7 linked regions of the Mus musculus genome follow. The protein of the gene in region 4 purifies or fractionates together with the protein of the main gene of each other region. This does not show direct contact. Links are inferred from orthologs where the notes say so. Each region holds a gene or a part of one and is shown on either strand. Other genes may lie near its edges.

Region 1 (4,205 bases), on a different chromosome or scaffold from region 4:
TAGAAATGTAAAACAAGTTACTTACTGATATTATGAAGATCATTGCTAATCAATTCTTACCTCTCCTGTCAATTCCCTGAAATACTTTGTTTCTAGAAAGGCACACTGTTGTCTTACATGTGTTATGAGACTGGGTTTCTCTGTGTAGCCCTGTCTGTCCTGCAGCTTGCTTTGTAGACCAGGCTGGCCTCAAATTCGAATTCAGAGAGATCCTCCTGCCTCTGCATTCTAATTGTTTGGATGAAAGGTGTGTGCCATCAACGCCCAGCCCAAAATGCCTTATTTTTTTTCTCCTCATTTTTTTTTTGGGTGGGGGAGGGAGTGTGTTCTGTATAGCCTTGACTATCTTGTACTCTCTTGGTAGACCAGGTTTGTCTTAACTCTCAGAAATTTGACAGTCTCTGCCCCTCCCAACTGCTGGGATTAAAAGTGTGCAGCAAGAAAATTTTTCTATTTTGTTTTTTTGAGACAGGATTATTCTGTTCAGTCCTGGTTGTCCAGAAACTTGCTCTGTAGACTGGGCTGGCCTCAAACTCTGAGATCCGTTTGCCTCTGCCTCCCAAGTGCTAGGATTAAAGACGTGTGTCACCATCATTGTTAGGCACCCCCCTTTTTCTTTTTAGAAAGAGTCTCAAACAAACAAAAAGTCTTTTGTACCTCAGGCTAGACTTGAATTCACTATGTAGCTGATCTGTGTTTTTTGTTTTTTGTTTCTTTTTGGTTTTTCGAGACAGAGTTTTTCTGTGTAGCCCTGGCTGTCCTGGAACTCACTCTGTAGACCAAGCTGGCCTCGAATTCAGAAATTCGCCTGCCTCTGCCTCCCAAATGCTGGGATTAAAGGCGTGCGCCAGCACTGCCCGGCCACAGGATCTCATTTGGTAACTCAGGCTGGTCTTGAACTTGCAGTGATTGTCCAGCCTCACCCTCTCTTGCGCTGGTATTACAAGCGTGAGTCTGTTTCAGCTGTTTAAGCTTTGTGTGCTGAGCTTTGGTGAGCATATCCATCAAATGCACCACTTAAAATGACATCATCCAGGAAGGCCCGGCGACCCTTTTCTGCCCACTCTCTTGGGTACTTTGTCTGGAGTAAAGACTATTTTGAACGTGTTAAATTTGTATTTTCAAAGGGTCTATCTGGCTGTTGTGCAAAAGAAAGACAATCAGGCTTGAAGTGCAGACTTGTCGCCTAGCAACCAGACTCTCTCAGGGGCCCGGGGTTGGCTTGCTTCAGGATGGGGCCCCGCCCTTTCGGCACTCTACCCCGCCCCTCTTCTCTCACTTGCGGGAGAGTGCTGGCGGCCCCGCCCACCTTCCGGCCCCGCCCCTCACGGGAGCCTCGCGAAGCTCTGCGACCCGCAGGGGCGGGCAGATGCTTCTTATTGGTCAGTTTTCCGGAAGCTGAGTTGATTTGGTTTGGCAAGCGCAGCGTTGCTGGACGCGCGTGGCTCCCGCGCGTGGTGCGGACGGAACGAGGCCAGGGTGGCATCCGGGGACGGGGAGCCGGCGCTCCTCCAAGGCTGGCGGGAGCGGGCCTCAGTTTCCTCCGGGAGACGAGCGTAGCTTCCAGAATTGGAGCCCAGGCCCTCCCGCGCAGCTCGGCTGCAGGTTTGGCTTGTCAGAGGCTGAGAAGGGACGGAGGAGGCTCGGGTCCCCCCCACCCCATCACAGCTCGCAGGCCCCCGTGCTTGGCAGCCTCTCCGGTCTCCAGAGCCCTAGCGCAGGATGTTCGTGCTGGTGGAGATGGTGGACACCGTGCGCATACCCCCGTGGCAGTTTGAGCGGAAACTCAACGATTCCATTGCTGAGGAGCTGAACAAGAAATTGGCCAACAAGGTACTGGGCCCTCGGGCTGCCCGGCAGTGTCCCTACCGGTCCCACTGCTAGTCTGGCTATCGCCTGGTTCACCCTTGGCCTTGCACACTTAACTTCATGTCGGGGTTTTTTTCCTTCGCATCCTTATAAACCAGACTTGGGTGACAACGTGTACACAAGGGAGTAAATGGGCCGGGCGAGGTAGTGCACACCCGTAATCCGAGCTTCTTGGCTATTGAGGCTTTTTGACGATCCTGTGTTCGAGGCCAGCGTGGGCAATATAGTTAGCCCTTGACTCAGACAAATTAAAAGCACCGAAGCTGCTGGCGGTAGCGCATGCCTTTAATCCCATAACTCAGGAGGCAGAAGCAGGCGGATTTCTGTGAATTCGAGGCCAGCCTGGTCTACAGAGGGAGTGCTAGAACAGCCAAGGCTACAACGGAGAAACCCTGCCTCAAAAGAAACAAAAAGCATCAGGATGCTGAACAGTGCTTGAATTTGCTTGACATTCGCGGAGTCACTGGTTCGGTTCTCAGGATTGCCAGAAAACAAAACGGAGAGAGCGTGTGTACAAAATGGGTTTGTAAAACAGAAACTGGAATATGCCTGTTTCCTCGTTCAATTACTGTGTTGTCTTGGCCAAGTCACCCTCTCTGGGCCTCGGTTTGTGTTATCTGTGTTGCCCACAGTGTGAGAGTAGAGGTGAGAGGATAAGCGTGCGGGTCTCTAGAATTGAACTCAGCTTTCAGCTTTAGAGGGAGGCAGCTGTACCGGCTGAGCCAGCTCAGTAGCCCCTTTCTTGTATTCATTTGGTTACTGTGTTTCCCTTTCTATGACTACAGGGGCCTTCTCGGACTTTCACTCTCTCCAATGGGAGACACAGGCTCTGCCCTTGTAGCCTAGTGAGAAGAAGTTGGCTTGAGAATGTCTTGTTGTAATGAGCTGGGGTAAATGCCATGAAGGACAGGCATTCACAGAGTGGGGAACAGGGGAGTGTCACCCGGGATGAAAGAGATGGGTGACTTCTGAGGAAACAGCCATTGCTCTGAGAGCTGATGGTGGGAAGACACCAAGTAATGCCTCGGACAGGCCTTTCTGTGAACTTTTCACTTTGGGACTGTGTCCAGGCTTTTGGGCCTGTCAAGCGGGTCACTACTGGAATGGATGTAGCAAAGTAGAGAGACTCTGTTTCGATGGTTGGAGTAGGTTGGGTGTAGAGCTGTGGAGGCAGTGCATTTAGCATGTGCAAAGGTCCTGAGGCAGGAGAGGCACAGAATGCTGGTGTAGCTGGAACGGAAATGTAGACGGAAGCCAGACCACAGAGCCCTGGAGGGCCTTATAGTCCAAGCTGTTCTTTACGGGTCGGTAGGATGTGATCTTCAGAGAGCCAGAAAGAAAGAGCGAGTTTGGCTTTTACAGGAGACAGGTAGTCCCTTATAGGAGACTGAGGCCCTAGGAGAAGGTACACACACAGATCTGAGGCTTGTCACATGGAGGAGGAGAGAGCTCACTGACAATCCTTTAATTTTTTTTGAGACAATCTCACTATGTAGCCTTGGCTGGCCTGGAACTTGCTATAGTCTACGTTGCCCTTCCAATCCCAGAGAACCATCTGCCTCTGCCACCCAGGTGCTAGGATTGAAGGTGCGTGTCACACCCAGTCTTAGTTGCTGCACTAGTGCTGTGAGGAAATACCATGAGCAAGGTGACAAGAGAAAGCATTTTACTGGGGGCTTACTGTTGCGGAGGTTGTCCTTCAGCATTGTGGTGGAAGCGTGCTGGCACACGTGGTGTTGGAGTAGGATCTGAGAGCTATGTCCTCCACTGCCAAGGGAGTAACGCTCGCCTGCTGTGGGTCTGTGAAACCTTAAAGCCCACTCCCACTGACACAAGAAGGCCATACCTTCTTTCTAATCTTTCTCAAGTTGTGTCCCTCTCCGATGACTTAAGCATTCACATTTATGGGCCTGTGGAGGTCACACTTAGTCAGCCATGACATCCAGGTCTGTCTGTCTGTGTCTGTCTGTCTGTCTTGTCTTTCTTTTTTTCTTTCTTTCATTACATGGATTTATTTTGAATGTGGGTGTATATACCACAGCACACATGAATAGGCCACGGCACAGCTCATAAGGAGAAAGGGGTCCTGGGATCTACCTTGACTGCTGAACCATTTTGCCAATACCATCTCCCCACATCTCATGGGACTTGAATTCACTTTACATCCACTGTGTAACCAAAGATGGCTTTGGACTTCGGATACCCCTGCCTCCCCCTCTCAGCTGCAGGGATTACAGGCAGAGATCACCATGCCCGGGTGAGGTCAGTTCACTGGATCCTGAGAGAGAAACCTCCACAGATGACGACTGCTGGGAGCTCTGCCCCAGCTCTGAAGT
Region 2 (4,156 bases), on a different chromosome or scaffold from region 4:
CTATAACCACTAACTCCATAAAGACCACTTTTGTATCAAAGAAAGTAAAAAGATATGAACACAGATTACATTACAGGTCTTTATATTAAATACGAAAAGCTTCATGAAAAATAATTTTTCTCACTTTATGCCCATCAATAAAGGTGATGTCATGTACTAAGATTTATATACAATTTGCTGGCTCCAATTATCAAGCACACTGACTGTTTAACCATTCTCCTGACTGACAGATATCTACAGTACCTTACTATGTTCTCTGTCTGTCACAAATGATGGCAGTCAATAATGTTGTCCTGGCAGTTTTACATCAAACTGACACACACTAATGTCACTGGAGAGGAGGGAACCTTAAGAATGCCTCTATGAGAGCTCATGTCTTTAGCTGCATATATAGCAGAAGATGTCCTAGTCAGCCATCATTGGGCAAAGAGGCCCCTTGGTCTTGCAAACTTTATATTCCCCAGTACAGGGGAATGCCAGGGCCAAGAAGTGGGAGTGGGTGGGTAGGGGAGCAGGGTGGGGGGAGGGTATAGAGAACTTTCGGGATAGGATTTGAAATGTAAATAAAGAAAATATTTAATTAAAAAAAAAAAAAAGAATGCCTCTATGAGTTCTAGCTACAGGCAAGCCTAAAGAGCATTTTCTTAGTGATTGATGGGAAGGACCCAGCCCATTTGTGGATGATGTTATCCTAGGGCTTATGCTGTATGAAAGCAGGCTGAGCAAGCCATGCTCAACAAGCCCGTAAGGAGCACTCCTCCATGGTATCTGCATCGGCTCCTGCCCCAAGGTTCCTGCCCTGCGTGAGTTCCTGACCTGACTGTCCTTCCGTGATGAGCAGTGATACGGAAGTGGAAGCTCAGTTCTTGTGAGCAAAACCGACTTGTTCAACAACACATCCTAAGGGCCTAACTCAAATACAGACGATCTTGTATTTGGAAATTATCTTGCAAGAAGAGTCGGTGAGTCCTGAAGTGATGAATGTTAGTCTCTTCAGATGAGTTTTGCTCTAGCTATCTCCTCTGTGACACGAGAGGCCATGACTTTTTGGAAGCTCTAAACTGTAAAGGATGCTTTTGGTTGGTTTGTTTTTAAGTTCCTATTTAACGTTACAAAGAAGACAAAAACAAAATAAAAGAAAACAAAAAAACGGGCAGTGGTGGAGAACGGTTTTAATCCCAGCACTTGGGAGGCAGAGGCAGGCGGATTTCTGAGTTTGAGGCCAGCCTGGTCTACAGAGTGAGTTCCAGGACAGCCAGGGCTATACAGAGAAACCCTGTCTCGAAAAACCAAAGGGGGGGGGGAGGGGAAAGAAAGAAAGGAAGGAAGAAGGAAAGAAAGAAAAGAAAGAAAAAAGAAAAGAAAAACAAAACAACAACAGAACAAAAAACCCAGAAGACAAAAGGTGCCTTGAAGTGATAAAGAAAGAACCTGCTTCAGCGAGCTTGGCACATACAACAGTAATAGTGTACCTGAAGAAATGGGAAAGATTGGTTAATTCAGGAACTATGTCCCCAGAACTTTCTACAGGTGTTCATGATAGTTTCCAACAGCCTAAGCCTCCACATTGGTTTTCCTACAGCTGAAGGACAGAGCAGTCTTACGTGAGAATCGACAGTGCTTCCTGAGTCTTCAGTATTTTCTCAAGAAAGGTATGCACTATGCTTTTAAACTATTTGGGCTGGAGTATAGCTCGGTAAATTAGACAAAGAGCTTCATTAGAATGTACAAAGTCTTTAAGTTCAATTCCCAGATTGCAAGATCAGAAAACAGAACATCAAAACAAAAAAACCAAAACCAAAAAGAAAAAAGAAAAAAAAAAAAAAAAAAAAGAAAAGAAAAAAAAAAAGAAAAGAAAAAAAAAACCAAATCAGATTGAATTAATGAGATAAAAGCAAAGTGAAATGCAGATGCCCACGTGGTTCTACCTTTTAGATGCATCTCCTCGTTTCAGGGCTCGGGTCTGTTTAGTACCTACAATTGAAGAGAGAAAAGTCAAGTGCCAATGCATTTGATGTAGCAGAGTAGTCCCCAAATATCACACTGTAGGCACCATTTCCTTTTCTCTCACACATCTCATTTCCAACTTCGATGTGTACAAAAAAAGAAAAACAACCCCCCCCCCAGAAAAACAAAAACAAAAGGGGGGGCTAAACAGGAAGCAAATTCAATTGTTTCTGTAAATTAATTACATTTTACATTTTCATGACGGCAGTCTCTTCGAGGACTCTTTCTCATCGGATGCGCTTTAATCAAGTGCTTTTAAAACACTCTCTAAACTGGGTTCCTTTAGAATAAACATTGCTCAGTCTCCCAAATGTTTGTTCCCTTGCCTAAAGAGAGGAGTCTGAGACCTCAGAGACCAGATATCAAAGCAATCCAAGGTTCAAGGCAACTGACCACCACCTGCCTTGGCCACTTGTTCCCACGTACGGGTAGATCCTAAAACCCCTGTGTAAGAGTGTGGGATTCCTCCCCCGAAGGCACTAGGACAGCCTGCGTTGGGAAGCTCTGGGCCTCATCCACCCGGAGTTCTCGCTCTCCCCGGCGCAGCCTCAGAAAGAGGCCCGCGCGTGCGTGGTACTCAAACCAAGGTCTCAGGGTCCCAGCCTGGGACGGTGGCTCTTGTTCGTACCGGTAGCATCTCGGTGGGTGCTGGAAGCCCGGGTACTTGGGCCTAGAGAGCAAGGTACGGCAGAGTCAGCCATGGGGAAATGCGGTCAGAAGAGGGGGTCGGGACAGCACATCTACCTCCTCACGCTTCGCCCGGAACCGGGCTGGGGGCGGGCCCAGGGAGGGCGGGGCGAGCGGCGGAGGGGGCGGGCCCAGGGCGGGGCGGGGCGAGCGGCGGAGGGGGAGGGTCCGGTCCGGGGGCGGGGCCAGGAGTGCGGCCTGCGCTACCTGAAGTGGAGAAGGAGGAGGAGGGCAAGAGGCAGGCGCGTGGATCGGCGGGTAGGTAGACATGCTGGGTCGGGCGGATCGGGCTCGCCGAACAGGACCTGCGCCGCACGCGGCTCTCCTGCTCGGCCTCTGGAGGTGCTGGAGCCTGGACACCCTGCCCTGCAGGAGCAGGGAGAAATGGCCTCCCTTCGCCTCAGCCAGGCGCGGTAGGGTGTGATTTTCCTGTTCGCGCCTGCGGGGCAAGGACCTTCGCTGCTGGCCTCCTTTTCGTGATACTCGGTGATCTCACTGACGATTGTTTATGTGAGGAGGGAGATCCTGTGGAGAATGGGGTGGGCGGCATCGGAATCTTCAACTTCTTTGGGTGACTTAATTATGTTGGATTCCAGTTTTTGTCAATGGGACATTTAAAAAAATTACTTAATGATTAGATTTTTCATTCCAGGTCCACAATTTGGATTTTTGTTTTCCTTTTAAACAAAGGCTTTTCTAGTAGTTCTTTCTAGGGCTCTTTTTATTTTTTTACTCGTCATTCTTTAAAAATTACTTTCTTTAGGCATTATATCAGGGGCTTTTAAAAATGCTTCATTAGGCTAACACAGTAACGTTCAGTAATAGCAGTTAACCTATAAAACTTTACATTGTGTTTGTTGTCTAATAATTCAGAATGAAACGGTTTATGAAACATAATTTACATGGTATCACACAATTAACTGGGTTTTTTTGTATTAGTTCATTACAGCATCAAAATTAGGAAAATAATTAGGAATGGCTGTGGAGGAACTTCAGAGCATAATAAAAAGATGTGTAAGTACTTCTCCGAAAACACCTTTAAATATATGGGAAGGGCATAGAGTATCTTTACTTTGTGGTCACTCATGTTATTTATCTTAACTAAATTCTGCTTCTTCTTTTTTGACTTGTAAATATCAAAAAATCAGGAAAGTAGATTAGATGATAATGATGATGGTGGTGGTGACTTTCAATCCTAGTACTTTTGGGAGGCAAAGGCAGAGGGGTCTCTGATTTTGAGGCTGGCCTGGTTTACATGGTAAATTTCCAGGACAGCTTGGGCTATGGAGAGAGAGAGAGAGACCCTCGCTCACAAGGGGCATAAGGGGCTAGAGAGATGGTTCAGTGGTTAAGAGCACTTGTTCTTGCGGAGGACCTGGGTTCATTTCTCAAAACCCAGGCCCTGTTCTGGCCCACAATGGGCATCAGGCACATGCATATGTATGAAGGTAAACGTTAGTAA
Region 3 (4,071 bases), on a different chromosome or scaffold from region 4:
ACAGCCTGGCAGAGCCAATTTTATATCAGAGAAAGCAGTCCCAACATTCTGTTCTTTTTTTGTTTTCCTGGGCAGAAAAAAAAAAAAAATGGAGGGGGTGGGCTAGGAAAGTGGAGCTAAAGACACTGGCAACGTGATATCCAAAATAAGTTGAGACAGTACGTCCTACCTTCTTCCCAAAGCCATTTCCTTCGATAGCAACAGGGAGCGCAGTCTGCAAGTCATTGGTACACTGCTATTTTCACTTTCACAAGAACCCAAAAACCACTGAAGAACAAAATCTCCCTCTTCCCTGTTACCTTCCAAACCTCCTCTTTCTGTACTTCAACAAAACCTACTAAGAAGTCCTCAGCAATATGCTATTTCGGCTCACTGAGGATGCAGAAGGGGGGAGGATCTGGTTGAGAAGTGGGAAGAAAAATAAAGAGTAGGTGAGCCGCAAAAACGGAAAGAGTACAGGGGATAGGTCATCGCGAAAAGACAAGGAAGGGGACTGAGAGCAAATTGGACGCAGATTTGCCCGAGAATTCACCGAGGAGACAAAAAAAGATGGGGGTGGTATTAAAGAGCGGAAGCGAAATGAGGGGCTGATTGGAGACGCCGCGGAAATGAGGGATAGGCAGGACCCTGGCCCTGATGCCCAGGGTTTGCGACCAGTGCCCGGAGACAGCGGGCAGCAGGTACCGAGAACACCGGTGTCAAGGGAATCACGGGTGTGCGGGCAGCCTAAGACCCGGTTTCCAGCCCTAGGAGCCAAGGACCTACGCGGCGCCGGAGCGCGGGACACACGGGGCTCTTACCGGTAGTTTGGGATTGACCTCGCCCTTACAAAAGTGGCAGAAGAAACGGTGTGCGGCGACAGCGGAGCCCGCGTCCGCCCCCGCCGCCGAGGCCTCCGCCATGTTTCGCCTCCGCCGAGGATGTCCGAAAGGGCGGCCGGCGGTCCCTCCCCAGGCCGCTACCTCCCGTGCTGCGGTCGCCACCGCCGTCGCCGCCTCCTCTGGGCGGCCCGCCGCTCCGAGGCCCGCAAGGGTCACGTGAGTCCGCCCGGCCCCGAGAGGCCCGCCCGCCAGCGGCCACGCGACCCGAGGCCCGCCTCCCGGCACCAAAGGCAGAGGAGAGCCCGCCCGCCGGCACCTCAGACAGCCCCTGGCCGGTCCTCCAGCCTCCCAACGAGAGGAGAGAAAGAGCGTCCCCGGAAACCACCGACACTGTCGGCTAGAGCGGCCCGTGCTCTGACCCTTCCGCGTCCGCCTGGATGGTGCTCTACTTCTAAGAAGGGGCGATGGGAAGCTCATGAGCTGAGGCTGCTGGCCTCGGGAGGACAACATTTGGAGCTTCTAAATTAGCCCCGACCCTGAGGTTAGTGAAAACGCTGCCGGAATGAGGAGGCCCTGACTCAGGGCCAAGAAACAAAGTCCGGAACAGAAACTTGCATGAAGGGAGAGGAGCCAGGAAATGCATTCAAGGATGGCAACTGGTCTAAGGATGTTTCTCCAAAGACGTGTGTGTGGCTAAGTGAAATAGTCTTCTCTGCGACACTGTGGCAAGAGGGACAAAAATTTAGGTTCGAGAGAGTTGGAGCTTGTGATAGGGAGGTAATTTCAAAATCAACTACACCCATTCCTGCTTGTGTCTCATGATGTAAAAATTTAATATGGTTCTCAATGGAACATAACTTCATCTCCTAATTGAAATACCCTAAGAAGCTCTTTTTTTACTTTATCTATCTAAGTCGTGGTTTATGGCTTGGGAATAAGTTGTACCCCACTGGGTCATGAGCCTTAGGTCTTTGTATCTGTGACAGAAAGTTATTCGCACTTTCCCTCCCCCTTTGCTTTTAAAGGTCTCACTCTGGACCAGATTTGCTTGGTATTTATTATGTAGCCCAGGCTGGCCTTCAGTTTATGACAGTCTTCTAGCTTTAGTGCTGGAAATACAGATGTTAGCCACCATACCGAGATGAATCCAGTCTTTAAAGATTATTGGAACCACAAACCACATATATTCCCATTAAAATAAATGGCATATATAGGGGAGGATGGCTTGCCTTTTTTTTTTTTTTTTTTTTAATTTTAATAGGATCTCATGTAGCCAACCTGGTTTTGAACTCAATATGTAACCATGAGCTCCTGACCCTCATACTTCCACCTCCTAAGTGCTGAAATTGTAGGCTTGCACCACCATACCTGGCTTTAGAAAACAAATTTGATGTCTAGTTTTCTAGTTCTTTGTTTTGGTGGGTGGTGGGTGTATTACCCACCAGAGTCTTGCTGTATAACACAGGCTGGCTTTGAACTCACTTTGTGCCCAGGTTGACCTGGAACTATTGATTCTTTGACTTTGGTCTCCTGTGTGCAAGAATTACAGGCAGTGTACACCATCATATCTGACCATTGCAATTACTAAATGACAACACATTAGGAATATTTTATGGTAGTTATATTGTATGAAGTCATTTTAAATGTTGGCATAGTATACTCTCTTAAGGTTATACTATAATTTATTGATAGATGCTAGATTATTTATGTCAATGCCAGTATTGTGAAGAGAACTCATGGCATGGTTTTTACTACATCCTTGGAACAAAGGATCTCAACTTATAAATATTAAGGCAAATATATGCCTTAATATATAGAGGGTTTGATTTATATTGTCAAGTTGCCCTCTAGAAAAAAAATATGTGAATTTATATTGTTGTTCTTTCCTAGTTCTGAGGCTCTAAGAACGATGACTCAAGCAGAGATTAAACTGTGTTCTTTGTTGCTGCAAGAGCATTTTGGTGAGATTGTAGAAAAAATTGGAGTCCACCTAGTCAGAACTGGAAGCCAGCCACTTAGAGTAATTGCCCACGACACAAAAGCATCCCTGGACCAGGTATGTTTAGATAAGAGAGTCTGTTCCTCTTCAACTTCTTCAATCATTTCCTTCAAGTACCTTTGGACAGGAGAACTCCTTCCCCTAGAAAGTATGAACAGAGACCGTCTGCCCTGTGGTCAGTACCACAGTGGGTGGGGTGGGGTGTGGTATTGTACTTAGGCCCCGTGTACTGCCGCTTGTGGTGTTCCTAGCTCATCTTGGCTGTTCCCATGCCACACTCATTTATTCACAGTAAGTCTACTGGTGGGGTATGGCCTTTAAGGAATACAGTGATAGAACAAAGTAAGCTGGGCTGCCCATCCTGGCCCAGAATGTAGCTCAGTTGGTAGAGTGACTACATTGTAGTGACAGTTTGAGGATTTTGGTTTCTTTAAAAATACAAAAATAGAGCCGGGCGTGGTGGCGCACGCCTTTAATCCCAGCACTCGGGAGGCAGAGGCAGGTGGATTTCCGAGTTCGAGGCCAGCCTGGTCTACAGAGTGAGTTCCAGGACAGCCAGGGCTGCACAGAGAAACCCTGTCTCAAAAAAACAAACAAACAAAAAATACAAAAATATTATAAGAATATTTTTTCATTTTAATCCCAAGTATGCAGATATGGGGCTGCTTCAGACTGTCTATGATTTGCCTCATGTTCTAGCAGAGGCATGGTTCTGCCAGCTATAGATAGTTCCTGTGATTGTGCAGTGTCTGGGATTCTGGGAACTTTTCAGAGTGTGTATAAATGCCAGCCCCAATATGTGGAGTCGGGGGGTTGGTGGTCATTTAGGGAAGTTGTGATTTACTAGTAGTGTTGGTCAAAGAAGAAACGAAAGAAATTAAATTCAGGGATTTTCCTAATTCCTCCTTGTTTCTCTCTTATGAAGTGTTAGAGGGTGAAACCCGGGTGGGGATGGGAGTGGGAAGGGAGTATCAAGGGTGGGAAAAAGAAGAACCCACAAAGTAGCAAAGACCATTCACACTGCATAGCAGCTAAAATGTCCTGCTTTGATCTCCAACACTGTATAGAACTGGGTGTGTTTATGTTTATGATCCCACGACTTGAAAGGAGGGGCTGGGAAGTTCAAGGTCACCCTCAGATACACAACAAGTGTAAGGCTTCCCTGGGCTCCAGGAGAACCACATTCAAAACAGAAAACTAGAAGAAAGATAAAGATCAGACAAAATAAGCCGGGCGTGGTGGCACACAGGC
Region 4 (3,982 bases):
GCACGTGGCTCCATGGGGGATGGCAAAAGCTGCCAGGGAGGCTGTCCAGGGTGACATCGGGGGCACAACCACCAAGCTGGCCAGTGGCTCCGACCAGCCACACTCAAGACCCAGGAGACCCCTCCCGACCTCCCCTCCATCGTTTGTTTCCCAGAGGCACCTGGAAAATGTCTAGGACCCCCCAGAGCCTTCACTGTAACCAGATCTCAAACTTCCCAAGCTCTATCGAACTTCTCCAGCTTCTCACTGCAAGCTGCCTCGTTTTCCTAAGGGTAGCTCCCAACACACAAGAAGGCGGCCAAGGTGATACACTCCCCAGAAACCAGCTCCTTGCCCATTCCCTTAAGTCCTTAAGTCACGTCCAGGTGAGGCAGACCTGTGGCCACTAGCAGTCTCGCACGCAATCTCCGCGTCTGAGCCAAATATCCCGGGAAAAAGAGGTTAGAAGGTCTGTTCATAGGGTGCCTCCTCCATGACGCCTTCCCGGACCACCGCCCTGCTCCTCTCCCCAGGAAAAGACCCTTCTCAGAGGAGAGGACTGTACTGAGCGCGGGAGGCCGCCGTCGGGGCTCGGGACACCGTACCGCCGACGGTTCTGCAGCGGCCGAAGAGAAGGACGCCCCAAACTCCAAGGCCCGGACTCTGCCTGGGCACCTCGGGTAAGGGCTCCAGACCGAGACCCCTTGGAGTCCGGGCCAGGAGGCGGGAAGACCGCCTTGGCCGTGGACAGTCGGCAGCCCGCTCTCCGGCTGCGCCACCACCACTTGTTAACCACCTCTTGGCTCCAGTCGGCTTGCGATCCGGCCAGCGGGACCCCAGCCCGCTAGAACCGCCGTACCTGTGCGCGCCGCCGCACGGCGGAGCAGCTGTCAGTCAAGGCAACACGAGAAACGCGAACCGCCGGCCGCGGACCTTTCGGCCTTGCTCGGACGCCGTAGCGCCGGGATCTACCACCACAGCGGGAGGGGGGGGACCGGGATGCTGCCGCGGGCTCGGAGGCTCTCGGAGCCCCGGGTGGGCACGAGCAAGGAACACCGCCGCTTCAGGGTAATCATGGGAGCCGGGGCAGGGCTGCGGCGGGATTCAGGGAGATGCGGGGCGGGGCTCTGGATCTTACGGGGCGGAGCTAGGGCGTAATGAGCCCCGCGCTATGGGCGCGCCTGGGGCGGGCCTTGAAAAGCTACTGCCGGCAGCCTGCACGCCAGACGCCGCCATGATCATCCCGGTGCGCTGCTTCACCTGCGGGAAGATCGTCGGCAACAAATGGGAAGCCTACCTGGGTCTGCTGCAGGCCGAGTACACGGAGGGGTGAGACGGCGGGCCGCGGGGGATGGGACAGGACGGGAAGGCTGGACTGGGGGCATGAAGTCGAGGGGCAATGGGGAGGGTTCTGCGGCGGACCGGGAGTGAAATTGAGGTGTCCTGGGCCGGGGGTAGATAAGATTTCCTATGGAGAATTGGCAGGGCAGGGGTTGTGGGGTCTAGTGAGAAGACTGGATGTCCTCCAGCCCAGACCTGTGATGTATTCCCAGAAGAGTGAGTCTTTAGTTTGTTTTCGAGGCAGGATTTCGGTGGCTGACCTGAATTCTCTATGTAAAGCAGTCTGGTCTGAAACACTTCGAAATCCTGCCTGTCTCCTGGATGTTGGGATTAAAGGCGTGCAATATCACGCCCAGGCTCTCAGAAGTTTGGAAGGTGGTTTTCTTCAAGTTGCTGGCCTTTGGGAAACTTCTAAGCATCCTTCCCGTGGGTGACACCTCAAGTCTCTTCCCTGTCGACCTACTCTCTATCCTCTATCTGCTTTCCGACCTACCCCTTATGTACTTCGAACCTCGTGGGCCCTTTAAAATGCAGGACAGGCTTTGTGGGCATCGTCTTGTGCTCACTACTATGACTGTCCCCCAAAATAGACCTCTGGCCACCATGTCAACACCAAGGGGTTCTCTTTCTCTGCACAAGCCATAAGTCAGTGGGGCTTAATGAGCAGCTATTAGATCAGCTCTGATGAGTAGCTGCTAGCCTTCTGGGACCCTCTTTCACTTGGGCAGGAACCTCTCAAGCTGTCTAGGTCCCAGAGAAATTAAATCTAGTGTGAGTTCAAAGCCTGTGGGGTAGCAACAACCAGTTCATGGCGTTTAGTCAGAGTCCACCTGTGGGGCCTGGAATTGTACTCCTTGATGAGGGGATATTGGTCTCCTAAGCTTTCCCAAATAACCCTGGAAGCCCATAACCCTGGGTACAAGAGACAAACGCAGAGATACAGGGGGTTAGAGAGATGGCCCAACTGTTTTTTTTGTTGTTGTTTTGTTTTTCAAGACAGGGTTTCTCTGTGTAGCCCTGGCTGTCCTGAAACTCACTTTGTAGCTCAGGCCGGCCTCGAACTCAGAAATTCACCTGCCTCTGCCTCTACCTCCCAAGTGCTTGGGATTAAAGGTGTGCACCACCACACCCAGCTAGATGGCTCAACTGTTAAGAGCACTGGCTGTTTTGTGTGTTTGGTTGTTTGATTGTTTTTTAAGAGGACTCAGGTTCCGTTCCTTGAAGCAACATGGTATCTCGCAAGTGTCCGTAACTCCTTTGGGCTTTGGGAGCATCAGGCACCCATACACATAAAACGAAATTTTAAAAAACAGGTGTAGGCAGAAGGCTGTTAAGGATGGATACAGGATGCTATGGGAGAAGACTGGCACATGAGCAGGTGTAACTTCTAGGTGGGGAAAGGGTCACCTGGCTCCTCCCTGAGCATCTAGATACATATTTCAGAAATCTCCAGGCCATTTCCCTATGGCCTGGTGTCAGGTTTCAATCGCTGATTATGTAGATGTGCTCTGGTAACCCCTATCCACACGAATACCCAGAGGCAAGCTGGAGGTGGTTCCAAACCTATCCAGACTCTAGAGACCACATCCAGCCTCACTCTTCTCTTTACAGGGATGCCCTGGACGCTCTGGGCCTAAAGCGCTACTGCTGCCGCCGCATGCTGCTAGCACACGTGGACCTGATTGAGAAGCTGCTGAACTATGCACCCCTAGAGAAGTGACCGCTGGAGCCTGCCCTCCTCTGTCTCCTGCTGGCCACGGGCAGCCTGTCGTGCTATGTTCAAACTGAGCTATTGGGGATGTTGGTGTATTGCCTGGCTGTGGCCCTGTGGCTAAGTCCTGTTACCCTGGAAGGAACTGTTTAGTAAAGATGTTTGCAGAACCACCAACAGGTCTAACTTCCAAGGTGCTCCATGTCCATGTCTGTGCTGTCTCTGAGGCTACCTGGCCTGCCTCCAGTCTTTCCCCTAGGGCTGGTCTCCTTCCCCTTCATCTGACTGGGAGTCTCGTCCTGTGGAGGAGTACCCTGCTTCCGTTCCCCGGGGCCTTGACCACTTTGATCAACGAGGTAGCCCTACAGTAGTCTTGTACCACATTGCTTTAGGGCCTCTCCGCTTCCTGCCTGTGTTCAGGATGGGCATAATGGATGTGGGCACCACACCATCCACAGGTATGGATGGGCCCAAGCCTGGTGACAATATTCCTTTGGAATGCTGAGCGTGCTTGGAGGTCCCAATCCTTGTGCTAGGGTTATTATGCATTTGGGTATTTGGTCTGCTTATAAGTCTTTGTATCACTGTGTCCCCACAGAGGCCAGATCCCCTGAGAGTAAAGTTATAGAATGTATAAGCTGCCATCAGGTATTGGGAATCAAACCCAGATTTATTTACCTTTCATTTTCCAAGACAGGGTTTCTCTGTTTGGCCTTGACTATCCTGGAATTCAACTCTGCAGACCAGGCTGGCCTTGAACTAAAGAGATCAGTCTCTGCCTCCCGAGTGTTGAGTTTAAAGGACGGCTTGTGCCACCCAACCAAACCCAGATACTGTAGGAGTACGCCCAAGGCCACAGGCCTCACGAATTTCTTGGGTCCTAAAGCCCATCAGCTGTGTGAGCCTATCTGCTGCCCATGCCTGAGGATCTTGTTTCCAGAATCTTCCCAG
Region 5 (4,282 bases), on a different chromosome or scaffold from region 4:
TGCACCTCAAACACTCTTGGCTTTGGGACGCCTCTTTGTCCTTGTTAGTCATTCCCCTGACTGTGCTGGAGTCTAAACACAGTGTGTTATTTATGCCCTGAACTGGTCCTCCAACTGGGCTGTCAGCTAGCTTGGAGAGTGTGTATTATTCACATCTGAATCACCAGCACCCAGTGGGCAATCACGGTAAGACTGTTGAGCGAGTAACACCATGAACACCATTGTGGGACCCATTCTCCTCAAGACAGGTACAGGGCACCATTCAGTCTTACGTTATGATGACATTTTATTTACTTGATAATTTTTTAATTTAATTTTTTCTTATTTTCAAATACCATCATTCTTGGATGTACCTGTTGAACACACACACACACACACACACACACACACATGTGTTGGTTTTTATGAGACAGAGTTTTCTTTTCTTTTTGTTTTTTTGAGACAGGGTTTCTCTGTGTAGCCCTGGCTGTCCTGGAACTCACTCTGTAGACCAGGCTGCCTTGAACTAAGAACTCAGAAATCTGTCTGTCTCTGCCTCCAAAGTGCTGGGATTAAAGGCATGTGCCACCATACCAGCCAGACACCCTCTATTTCTAATACATTATCCCCTGCAAACCATTTTAACACTCACACCAATCTCAGCACTGGGAGGCAGAGGCAGGCAGATCTCTGAGTCTGAAAGGCTACTTAATGAAAATCTGTCTCTCCCCCCCAACTCCCAATTTTTAACGGTTGTATGGGAAACGGGATCTCTACATAGCCTACGTTGACTAGAATTCACCATGTTGCCCAAGCTGTCCTCAAACTCAAGGCATTCCACCTGCCTCAGCTTCCTACGTGCTTAAACCATTCCCCCAGTTCTATTTCTGTCTGTTGAGACTGGGTTTCTCTTTTCTCTGCCTCCTTCTTTCCCCCTTGTTGGAATTAGAGGCTTGTGCTACCTTGCCTGGCTTATGTTTTTTGTTTTGTTTCATTTTGTTTGGTTTTTTTTTTTTTTTTTTTTTTGGTTTTGTTTTCTGTTTTTTTGAGACAGGGTTTCTCTATGTAGCCCTGGTTGTCCTGGAACTCACTTTGTAGACCAGGCTGGCCTCGAACTCAGAAATCCGCCTGCCTCTGCCTCCCAAGTGCTGGGATTAAAGGCGTGCGCCACCACTGGCCGGCATGTGTTTTTTGTTTTTAACAAAAACAAAAACACAAAGTCTCAAATAGCCCCCATGGCTTGAAAGTCATTATGTAGCTCAGGCTGGCCAGAAACTCCTAACACTTCTCCTGCCTCAGCCTCTCTACTGCTGGGTTTACAGGTATGAGCCAGTATGACCGGTTTAGGGATTTTAATGCGGCCAAGGCAAATCCTAACAAAACCTGCACTACGAAAACGCTCGACAGTCTGAAATTAGACCAGGATAGGGACACCTAGAATTAAGGAAGAACCGGGCGTGCCCCGCAGCGATCCCGGCATGCACCCCGGCGGTCCCAGCGTGCCTTGCGGCACACACACGGAACCGGTGAGCAGAGCAGCGCCGGCGCAACGTGAGACTCTTCTCACGGCGGTTGCGTACGCTGAGGCAGAGGCAACATGGAAGTGTAAGCGACACGACCAGGGGAAGCCAGGATCATCTGGGGACCGCGAAGCGGCCGGCGGCTAGACCTCGGGACCCGCGAGCAGGACGGGTGGGCGGGGTGCACGGGCCGGAAGTGCCTGGAAGTGGGGCGGCAGGGGAGGGACCCTGCTGCTTGGGAACTCGCTCGCCTCCCACATCTTTTGGGGAGGGGAATGTTGAAAGGATAGAGAGGTTTCCTTTTTTTCTTTCTTTTGGTTCTGGGAATGGATCCCAAGACCGTGCACGCGGTCTGGAAGTAGTGCGACCCAGAGATAACGTCCCAGTCATTATCATTACTATCTTGGGATGTGGACTTTGCATACGCTAGGGAAACACTCTACTACTGACTGAGTCATATTCCCAGCCAGCATCATCACCATCATCGTTTTGTGATGGTGGAAATGGTACCCAGGACTTTGCTGGGCAAAGGCTTTGCCACCGACCTGCATCGCCAGCCATTATCGCTATTGTTATTTTGGAAATTTGAGGAAGGTACCCAGGGTTGTGATCGTACTGGGTGTGCTAGTTTTCTTTCGGTTGCTGTGACAAACACCATGACCAAAGCAATTTAGGAATAGAAAGGTTTTTATTACATCTTACACTTCCAGGACACAGTCCATCATTGAGGGAAGTCAGGGCAGGAACTCGAGGCAGGAAACCGAAGCTTCAGAAACAGTTCAAGAACTCTGATGGCTGGTTTACTCTCTGGCATTTTCTAATTTTTGTTTGTTTGTTTGTTTGTTTGTTTTTTTGAGACAGGGTTTCTCTGTGTAGCCCTGGCTGTCCTGGAACTCACTTTGTAAACCAGGTTGGCCTCAAACTCAGAAATTCGTCTGCCTCTGCCTCCCAAGTGCTGGGATTAAAAGCCTGTGCCACCACCAGTTGGCCAGGTTGTACCCTCCTGCATCATTTAATAATCAAGACGATCCCTCATGGACATGCCCATAGACCAGCCTGATAAAAGGCAGTTTGTCATTGAAGCTTCGTCTCCTTTTGATGATTCCAAGCTGTTTCAAGTTGACAGTTAAGACCAACCAGAAAACCAGGCCAAGTTTCCCCCCCACTCCCTCCAGACAAGGTTTTTCGGTAGAGCTCTGGCTGTCCTGGACCACGCTTTTTAGACCAGGCTGGCCTTGAACTCAGATATCCATCTGCCTCTGCCTCCTGAGTGCTGGGACTAAAGGTGTGCGCCACTACCGCCTGGCAACTAGGCAGATTTCTGAACAGTACCCCCAGCTGTTGTTGGGATATACTCTTCTTCCTTCTCCTCATCATTATGGTCATCATTTTGTGATGTTGGGGATGGTACTCACAGTCTTACACATGCTTGGCAGGTACCACTGAATGACAGACACCTTCCACACCGTTATTATCATTGTTATTGTGATGATGATGTGGTGTGGTGCTGGGGATAGAACCTAGGGATGGTAAGCAGGTACTTTATTACTAACACACACACACACACACATACACACACACACACATATACACATACACACACGCACATACACGCACACACACACACACACACATATACACATACACACACGAACATACACACATATTCTCTCTCTCTCTCTCTCTCTCTCTCTCTCTCTCTCTCATGTGGTGTTTGGGATGGAAGGGACCTGAACATGCAGACAGTCACTCTACTAACAACAAAGCTACCTGTCAGCTTATTTTTCCACACTTTTTTTTTTTGTTTTTGTTTTTTTTTTGGGACAGGGTTTCTCTGTGTAGCCCTGGCTGTCCTGGAACTCACTCTGTAGCCCAGGCTGGCCTCAAACTCAGAAATCCGCCTGCCTCTGCCTCCCGAGCGCTGGGATTAAAGGTGTGCGCCACCACACCCGGCTCCCTGTGCCTTTTAATATATGGTCTACTATATAGTCAGAGTTGGGAAACTGGACCTCTTCTTCCTTTTACAGCTAGCACTTAGAAAGGAGAGGCAACAGATACATAACAAGCCAGCAATAGGCTTCAGATGAGAGTGCCTGTTGGCTGGCTGTGAGGTGGGAGGGAGCTCTAGGTGAAGTGTTCGTTGACTTCGATGCCTTCTGTTTTCTGGTATCAAAGGGTAGCTTTTCAGAACATGAATTGATGGCATGCTGCTTTTAAGCTTAGAAAAGTTTAGCAATTCTGTTCGTCACTCCGTCCCTAAGTCAGGTGTGTGGCAATTAATAGGCACTGCTCACTTGTTTGGTGTGTGCTTGTGTGTGCTTTTAAGGAAAGAGTGTCAATAGATCATTTTGTTCTGTGTATTCAGAACTCTGTTTTCCAAAATGCCTGTTTACTTCTGTTGAGCTGACTCAGCAAACTTTGCAGGGTAAATTTCAAATGGCAAGTCAGCTTCAGTTCACTAAGGAGTTGCTCAAGGGCACTGAATAACCACCCACCTACCGCACAGACTCCACAGTCTTTAAAATTCACTCGGACCCAGGGTCGTGCTCCTTAGGAGTGGGGGCAGGAGGAGCACAAGGCCGAGGGCAGCCGCAGCTGCAGAGCAGGTTCCAGGCCAGCCTGTGAGTCTGTCACAGTGAGAGCCTGTCTCAAAAACACACTGAAAAGGCCCAATCTGTACTGAGGCGATCCTGCCTCCACCGCCCTGTCCCCTTCTGCGCTGGCTTGAGTTGTCCGGCAGTGACTTGGAATGGCCAAGGTCACGTTTCTCAATCACGAAAGCA
Region 6 (3,941 bases), on a different chromosome or scaffold from region 4:
GGAGTTGGAGGTGCAGAAGTGAAAGAAATGAAATAAACTTTCTTTCTGGCTGGGTGTGATGGTGTGTGTATGTAATCTCAGCACTTGGCAAGAGGATGGGGAGTCACCCTCAGGCACAGAACAAGTGGAGTTTGAAGACAACCTGAGCCCAAAAGGAACAGAGACCTCAGTCCCTTCTTCCTCCTTTCATCCTTGACCACCAGATGAGCAGTTTTGCTTTACCATACATTCCCTCTTGGGACCCAAATAAATTAATAATTTAAAAAGTGAAATGTTTCTAATAGGCTCTACCATTCATTACTAACCTCAAATAAACTGAGTATGGAAAAGATTCTGACAGAAGGGGGGATGACTAATTAGTTAACTAAGTCCTTTTATATTCTTTTTTCCTTTCTGGAAAGAATCAATAGAAAATCACTGGGTAGAGTCAAAGAAAGTGTAACCTTCCAACCAAAGAGTTGTGACAGCTAGAAGCAAAGTATAATTTGTGTGTATGTGTGACAGTTCTCACTTGAACTTGCCTCAAATTCATGGCAGCCCTGCTCTTAAATGCTGGGATTACAAGTGTAAGGCTGCAACACGGTTTCTGACAGGCTCTTTTAGCTGAAAAGGCAGTATCAAGGCCGTTGGGGAAATTGAATACTACAAGATTACATGGTTGAATCACTGTTAGCTCTCTTATTTGGGTGGCTGCATTGAAATTACTCAGGGAGAAACCCTACATTAGTCAGTTTTTTTCTATTACCTTAACAAAATATGTGAGACAAAGCTGGTGGTCTAATCTCCGTGAATTTGAGGCCATTATGTTTCACAGAATGAGTTCCAGACCAACCAGGATTACACACATGGTGATAGCCGGCCTTAAACGACAATAACAACACAAAATGAAGACAGCTCATAAAGAGGAACGGTTTCTTTTATTTTGGTTCACAGTTCTGGAGATTTTGGTGTGACTGGTCCCACAGCTTAGAGCCTGCGGTGAGCAATACAACACAAAAGTGAAGCTGCTCTCCTGGAGGTCCGAGACGAAAGGGGAGTTACTGCATCCTCCTGCAAGGGGGAGGGTGTGATCCTCAAGGGAAAGAACCAAAGAGTGGGCGGGGACGCGATCCAGTGAGGGGCGTGGCCTTACTGCTGGTGTACCCTGGGCGGGGCCTAGAATGTCACTTCCGGTTTTTGAGTCCGCGTGTGAACCGGCGAGCTCATGGCTACTCTGGAGTCTCCTGGGATGGATGACCAGGCTGGAGACACGGAGACAGAGGCGCTACAGAGTGCAAGGTGGCTGTACTGTGGAGAGCCCGACGACAGGCAGAAAGCTGTGCTGGGTAAAGACCGCCGACCCGGAGCGGAGTTCCGCGTAATCCTTTCCGCTTCTGTCTGGGTACCACGGTAGCCCACTGCCTGCAGCCGGGACAGGTTCCCTGCCACCATCACCTTTTCCCTCCGCATTCATCTATCGTCACCACTTCGGACTCGTCTCAGGGCAGTGCCCAGGGACCTGACATCTCCACAGCTCTCTCATTTGCCCTTTTCCCCCCTCTACGGAGCAGAGTTTCCTCTCTTGCCAGTTAATGGCATTTCCTCAGTCGTTCTCTTTTGTCACAACCCCTGCCCAGAGGTCACTTCCCCTCCCCTCCTCCATCTCCCTCTTTAGAACTGGACCAGGGCTTTCTTCATACCCCCCCGCCCCCCGAAAGTCGGACTTAAGCTCCCTTGCCTTCACTACCGGCGTCCAGCCACAGTGCAGGTCTCCCCATCCATACCCTGCTGGTCCTCGCCTCTTATTCTTGGCTTACACTCTTACAGTCCAGTTCTCCAATGGGAAGCTGCAGAATCCGGGCGACATGCGCTTCACCTTGTACAACAGCACCGACTTAGTAAACCCCAGGCAGAGGAGTCACCGGATCGTGGTAAGTGCTTGCTGGTACAGATGGTCTGGGCTCTGCAGACCTCAAAAGGTTCTTGGTGTGGGCAGACATGGGAGACCTGGCCTGGGGGGGAGGAAAGGAGGAGTAGCAAATGAGACTCTGGCCCCACTGAGGAGCAAGATTTTGGGCTTTTCACTTATATGGGCTTTATCTTTCCAGACAGGGTTTCTTCCTGTAGCCCTGGCTATCCTGGAAATTACTATATAGACCTGGCTGGCTTTGAACTCAGAGAATCACCACCTGTCTCTGACTCCGTAGTGCTGGGATTAAAGGTGTGCAGCACCACCCACCCCTGGCTTCATAAGTTGTCCCCCTACATGACCTTATTGAACGTTCACCATGTCCTCATGCCGCAGGCTAAGGAAGCATCTTCATGGGATTTGCACCTCTTAGGGAGGTCACTGTTCAGAGCTCAGCTTCAACCCTATTTTATGTGTATGGGTGTTGTTCATTTTTGTCTATGTACAATGTGTGTGTAGCTAGTGGAAGCCAGAAGTGGGCATTGGATCCCCTAGAACTGGGGTTACAGATGCTTGTGAATCAAATGTGACCCCAGAGTGATGGTTTTTTTGTTTGTTTGTTTGCTTGTTTTTTCAAAGGTTTCTTTGTACAGCTCGGGTTGGCCTTGAACTTAGAGATCTACCTGTCTCTGCCTCCTGAGTGCAGGGATCTGGGATTAAAGGCCTGTGCCACCACCACCCAGCTCCACAGGATGCTTACTAGCATCTCTGGTCTCTCCCGGGTAGATGCCAGGGTTAAGACCGGTCTGCTTTCCAGAGACTCAAATTCACCAAGTAGTACAGGCATACAGTAGAGCTAGCTTGGGGTCTAAGGGAGTGTTTAGGGCCTGGGGAGGGAGCTCTGTAGGAAACAAGTCTCAGCTTGTCTGAATGCCTTCCTGAGAAGGGTGAATGGGAATGAGGGACGATTTGATAGCAGATGTTTGGTGCCCTAGTGAACGAGGGAGAAGAAAAGCTTGGCTGCGATGGGAAGCCAGCCCTCATAGGACGAGCTAACGTCAGAAAGGTCACAAGGCAGTTATGTATAGGATCAGTTAGGTACCTATAAGTGCTAGGAGACCAAGACCTCACTGTATAGTTCGTTGTGCTGCTTATTCAAGAACTGCTATTTTCATCTGTATTCCCACTGCCTTCTGCCCACTGCCCTCCCCCATATCCCCCTCCTGCTGGTCCCTTGCCTCCCTCCCAAATAAGTCGCTCTTTCATGACATACATACTGGGCTGGAGAGGTGCCTCAGCATTAAAGAGCACTTCCAGGGGACCGGGGTTCAATCCCTGAACCCACATGGAGGTAGCAACTGTCTATAATTCTAGTTCCTGAGAACACAACACCCACTCCTGGTTCCTGTGGGCACGTCATAGATAAGGCATGCATGTGTGCATAAAGGCAAAGCACTCTCAACACATCAACATTATATCTCATTACATACATACTATATCAGCCTCTCGTTTCCCTTCTTTTGCACCTCTTATGATTCCTTTCAACTCTCATGCCTTGAATGTGTGCATATTCACACACACACACACACACACACACACACACACACTCTAAATCTAGATTCTGCATAGGAGAGGAAAACCTATTTTCTTTATCTGTTTTTGTCATTGATGCGCATCTAAGCTGGTTCCATTTCCTGGCTGTTGTGAATCGTGCAGCAGTAACCATGATTGTAGAAGTACAATACAGTGTGCTAACTGAAGAGCCTTCTGGGTGTATGCCTAAGAGTGGTCCAGCTGCCTCACACAGCACTTCCACTTGTAGTTTTTGAGACCCCTCCACACTGACTTCCACTGTGGCAGCAATAGCTTGCACTCCCACCAGCAGTGAGTAACGGTTCTTTCCCCACATCTCTGCCAGCATTTGTTGTTAGTTGTTTTCTCGGTGATAGCTGTTCTGACTGGGGCGTGATGGAATCGCAAAGCATTGTTTGTTTGCTTGTTTGTGTGGTTGCTATTTCTCTGTGGAATAGCCCTGGCTCTCCAGGACTTGCTT
Region 7 (3,500 bases), on a different chromosome or scaffold from region 4:
GTTTTCAGAACCTAAAACCTGAAGAAACCAAACCAAACACTGGGATAGAGACAGACTACAAGAGCCAGTGATAAAGTATATGCTTTGTCATTCTAACTGAACATTTCCTGGAATCTTGGTGTGGTTTTGTTTTGTTTTGTTTGTTTTTTGAGAGGGCCTCACTATGCAGCTGCGGTACAGACCATGCTGGCCTTGAACTCAGAGATCCACCTGCCTCTGCCTCTCCTCGTACTAGGATAAAGTGATGTATCACCATCTAGAGGGACATTTTCTAAAATATATATAAAACAACAACATTTTTGTAATGAAAAAAAAAAAAAAAAAAAACCCCACCACACAAACCACGAACATGGTTGAATTAGCTTACATCACATCTCCTTTCCAATCTTTTACCCTAATCTCATCTTCCTGATAGTTTCACTTCGGTGGCGCACACCTTTAATCCCAGCACTTGGAGGGCAGAAGCAGGCAGATTTCTGAGTTCGAGGCCAGCCTGGTCTACAGAGTGAATTCCAGGACAGCCAGGGCTACACAGAGAAACCCTGTCTCGAAAAACAAGAAAAACGAAAACAAACAAACAAAAACCAAAAAAAACACTGTAAATGAAAAGGAACTTAAATTTGAATCATGTTCATCTGCCATCTTCAACCATGGGGTGGGGGTGGGGGATACAAAAGTTTACCTGCTTCAATTCATGTACATCTATTATTTAAACAACATCCTACTTGTAAGATGGAAAAAAATAAGGCTATGGTTCTTAAACTCAATACCCATTGTGGGAAGTTATGAGTTTTCCTTCAAACAAAGTTGTACATGAAGAAAGAGACTATGTACAAAACATACATGCTTAGCTGCATGTAACAGGATATGCCTGCAATCTCAAATATCAGGAAGACCAGACCAGAAGATACTGAGTATGAAAGCCTGGTCTACAGGATGGGACCTTCTCGTAAACAAATGAACAGAACACTTTTTTAGGTCTAGCCCTGCAGACAGCACCTCACCCTTCCCATACTCACCTTTATTCCCTGCATCCTCTATGATTTGATAGACCAGTTTTTCCTGGTTATCGGACCCCTTCATTTTACTGCAGGGAATAGAGCAGAATTAAAAAAGGAAAAATTGTAGGCTGTGTTATCATCTGCATGACTACTTCATTAGCAGACAAGGCTATCATGCTGACTTATTTAGCAAAAGAAAGGCTTACCTTAAAAAGAATGAGACAGAGTTGTGTGTAACAATATGAAAAGATGTCCAAAGTACAATAAATAATAAAAAAAAAAGTTACAGAACAGTATGGATAGCATGATCCAGACTTGTGAGAGAAAGAAAGAAAAGAGAGAAAGAAGAAGAGCGAGAAAGAAAGGGAAAAAAGAAATAATATATATAGAATCATCCATGAATATTTAAATCTGTCTAGAAGAAATTACCAAGAGCAGGTCCTCTGGGAAATGGAAACACAGAACAAAAGCAGGATGGTACAGTTTCTTCTGGGTTCTTACTTCGAGGCAGGATCTTTTGACACATAGCTTAAAATTGTCTTCAACCTTATCATTCTGCCTCTGCCCCCATGTGTCAAGACTACAGGTGTGCACCACATACTGAGCTACATTATGTTCATACAGTCTCTCACATAGCTCAGGCTGGCCCTCAACTTGCTGTGTAGCTCAGGATAGCCCTAAATTTTCTGCCCTACTTCCCAAGTGCAGTGATATGGGTGTGTGCCACAATACCTGTTACTATGTTAGCATTTGTTTTAATATGTACATTACTTTTGCAATAAACACATTTTTCACAAAATTAAAAAATAGGTGCTTACTTACCCAGCATTCTGAGAATCCTTTATTCTATATAAGAGGCCTGTGTTACTCCTTAAAAGATCCAACTGACCCTAAAGCGTTTTAAAATAAAATATCATAGTCAATTACTCTGGAAATATATCAGTTCAGATGGCAAGTTTACTACAGTTTTAAATGTGTTGATTATACACACTATTCTGCTACCCACATTTGTTAGTTCTTCATCCGAGACTGAGGATTTTGTTTGCACACCTCAAACAAGGTATTTTTTAAAACTAATATAAAGACAGTTCAAGCTAGAGATACTAATTGTGTCCTATATACTAACCTGGTTTCATAATTTGGCCAGGGCACAAACAAGTTTGTTCTTGTTTTTTTCTTTTCTTTTCTTTTCTTTTTTTTTTTTTTTTTTTTTTGAGACAGGGTTTCTCTGTGTAGCCCTGGCTGTCCTGGAACTCACTCTGTAGACCAGGCTGGCCTCGAACTCAGAAATTCGCCTGCCTCTGCCTCCCAAGTGCTGGGACTAAAGGCGTGTGCCACCACACCCAGCCACAAACAAGTTTTTTTTAAAAATCTATTGTCAGTTGTGGTAGTGGCACATACCTTTAATCCCAGGGCTCAGGAAACAAAAACAGGCAGACATGAGTTTTAGGCTAGCCTAGTAGTCTACAGAGTGAGTTTCTGAACAGTCAAGGCTATACGGAGAAACTCTGTCTCAGGGGAAAAATTATTTTATTTCTTATATATGGATATTTTGCTAGCATATATATCTGTGCACCATTTGTAAACAATGCTCATGGAGGCCAAAAGAGAGCACTGAATCCCTGGTATTGAAGTTACAGCCAGGTGCAAATCATCTTGTATGTGGGTACTGGAAACTCAGGCCTTCGTAAGAGTAGCAAACGCTCTTAACCTGGGGGAAGAAGAGACAGCTCAGCAGTTAAGAAGAGCACTAAGAGTTCTTACACAGGACTGGGGTTCAGTGCTCAGTACCCACATGCAGCTATCAACAGTCTAACTTCAGTTCCAGGAGATCAGTGTCCTCTTGTGGTCTTTGTGGGTACCAGGCATGCATGCAGTGCAGGGACAATACATGCATGCAAAACACTCACACACAATAAATAAAAAGAAATCATTTTTAAAAAGTTGTTTTAGGATAATATATATATATCCATATTGATTCTAAATAAGTCCCAATTATATAAAATATGGATAGATACAATTAAAATAGAATTTGTACTGATAAAAATTTAGTCCAGATAAAGTATAAACATGAATATTCAACAGTATACTAAGTTAAACTATAGTTATTAATGACATTTACTAACATGTACAATTTAATTGTGAATGGAGAATTAGGCAAAAAGGTTAACCAGTGAACAAAAGGTCTCCTGTAGTGGTATTTTTTATAATGAAGCAAAATAAGATAAATCATGTTCTATCGTGCTTTTGAACCTCCTTGGACCTGGGCATCCTGAGAATCCAGATGCATGTACCACTGAACTTGCAGAAGTTATATATAACTATAACCAAGAGGGGGCCCTACTGCATATTAAGAATGTAAAATAGGTTTACTTACTGGATAAACTGCAGTGCCCTCCCTTCTTCATGAAACGGCAACATGGGATCACAAAATTCAATTCAGAGGTCCCCATCTGTCCTTTATTCAGGCTATTCTGGCCACTCACTAAACACCTGTAC

Evidence for each region.
Region 1: the proteins of Polr2l (region 4) and Polr3h purify together in Homo sapiens (affinity purification with mass spectrometry; 4 studies listed by BioGRID and IntAct, with this or other methods). This does not show direct contact. The link is inferred for Mus musculus from reciprocal best matches to the Homo sapiens genes POLR2L and POLR3H.
Region 2: the proteins of Polr2l (region 4) and Rpap2 purify together in Homo sapiens (affinity purification with mass spectrometry; 3 studies listed by BioGRID and IntAct, with this or other methods). This does not show direct contact. The link is inferred for Mus musculus from reciprocal best matches to the Homo sapiens genes POLR2L and RPAP2.
Region 3: the proteins of Polr2l (region 4) and Polr3c purify together in Homo sapiens (co-immunoprecipitation; 3 studies listed by BioGRID and IntAct, with this or other methods). This does not show direct contact. The link is inferred for Mus musculus from reciprocal best matches to the Homo sapiens genes POLR2L and POLR3C.
Region 5: the proteins of Polr2l (region 4) and Crcp purify together in Homo sapiens (affinity purification with mass spectrometry; 3 studies listed by BioGRID and IntAct, with this or other methods). This does not show direct contact. The link is inferred for Mus musculus from reciprocal best matches to the Homo sapiens genes POLR2L and CRCP.
Region 6: the proteins of Polr2l (region 4) and Polr1e purify together in Homo sapiens (affinity purification with mass spectrometry; 3 studies listed by BioGRID and IntAct, with this or other methods). This does not show direct contact. The link is inferred for Mus musculus from reciprocal best matches to the Homo sapiens genes POLR2L and POLR1E.
Region 7: the proteins of Polr2l (region 4) and Polr3f purify together in Homo sapiens (co-immunoprecipitation; 3 studies listed by BioGRID and IntAct, with this or other methods). This does not show direct contact. The link is inferred for Mus musculus from reciprocal best matches to the Homo sapiens genes POLR2L and POLR3F.

Annotation. Positions count from the first base shown.
Region 1 is NC_000081.6:81,923,414-81,927,618, reverse strand, and holds the start of Polr3h (DNA-directed RNA polymerase III subunit RPC8), read left to right. Parts: upstream 1-1,405; 5' UTR 1,406-1,722; coding exon 1,723-1,833; intron 1,834-4,205.
Region 2 is NC_000071.6:107,596,340-107,600,495, reverse strand, and holds the start of Rpap2 (putative RNA polymerase II subunit B1 CTD phosphatase Rpap2), read right to left. Parts: upstream 2,801-4,156; 5' UTR 2,709-2,800; coding exon 2,636-2,708; exon of another isoform or gene 2,239-2,635; coding exon of another isoform or gene 2,193-2,238; intron 1,975-2,192; coding exon 1,929-1,974; intron 1-1,928. Other genes in the region: Glmn (glomulin), read left to right, coding at 3,670-3,708.
Region 3 is NC_000069.6:96,724,640-96,728,710, reverse strand, and holds the start of Polr3c (DNA-directed RNA polymerase III subunit RPC3), read left to right. Parts: upstream 1-1,271; 5' UTR 1,272-1,362; exon of another isoform or gene 1,363-1,598; intron 1,599-2,711; 5' UTR 2,712-2,730; coding exon 2,731-2,877; intron 2,878-4,071. Other genes in the region: E3 ubiquitin-protein ligase RNF115, read right to left, coding at 801-902. UniProt on the Homo sapiens protein: DNA-dependent RNA polymerase catalyzes the transcription of DNA into RNA using the four ribonucleoside triphosphates as substrates.
Region 4 is NC_000073.6:141,472,354-141,476,335, reverse strand, and holds the start of Polr2l (DNA-directed RNA polymerases I, II, and III subunit RPABC5), read left to right. Parts: upstream 1-1,182; 5' UTR 1,183-1,213; coding exon 1,214-1,308; intron 1,309-2,931; coding exon 2,932-3,040; 3' UTR 3,041-3,982. UniProt on the Homo sapiens protein: DNA-dependent RNA polymerase catalyzes the transcription of DNA into RNA using the four ribonucleoside triphosphates as substrates.
Region 5 is NC_000071.6:130,027,824-130,032,105, forward strand, and holds the start of Crcp (DNA-directed RNA polymerase III subunit RPC9), read left to right. Parts: upstream 1-1,482; 5' UTR 1,483-1,576; coding exon 1,577-1,584; intron 1,585-4,282. UniProt on the Homo sapiens protein: DNA-dependent RNA polymerase catalyzes the transcription of DNA into RNA using the four ribonucleoside triphosphates as substrates.
Region 6 is NC_000070.6:45,017,468-45,021,408, forward strand, and holds the start of Polr1e (DNA-directed RNA polymerase I subunit RPA49), read left to right. Parts: upstream 1-1,141; 5' UTR 1,142-1,204; coding exon 1,205-1,325; intron 1,326-1,806; coding exon 1,807-1,910; intron 1,911-3,941. UniProt on the Homo sapiens protein: Component of RNA polymerase I (Pol I), a DNA-dependent RNA polymerase which synthesizes ribosomal RNA precursors using the four ribonucleoside triphosphates as substrates.
Region 7 is NC_000068.7:144,530,745-144,534,244, reverse strand, and holds part of Polr3f (DNA-directed RNA polymerase III subunit RPC6), read right to left. Parts: intron 1,892-3,500; coding exon 1,824-1,891; intron 1,088-1,823; coding exon 1,020-1,087; intron 1-1,019. UniProt on the Homo sapiens protein: DNA-dependent RNA polymerase catalyzes the transcription of DNA into RNA using the four ribonucleoside triphosphates as substrates.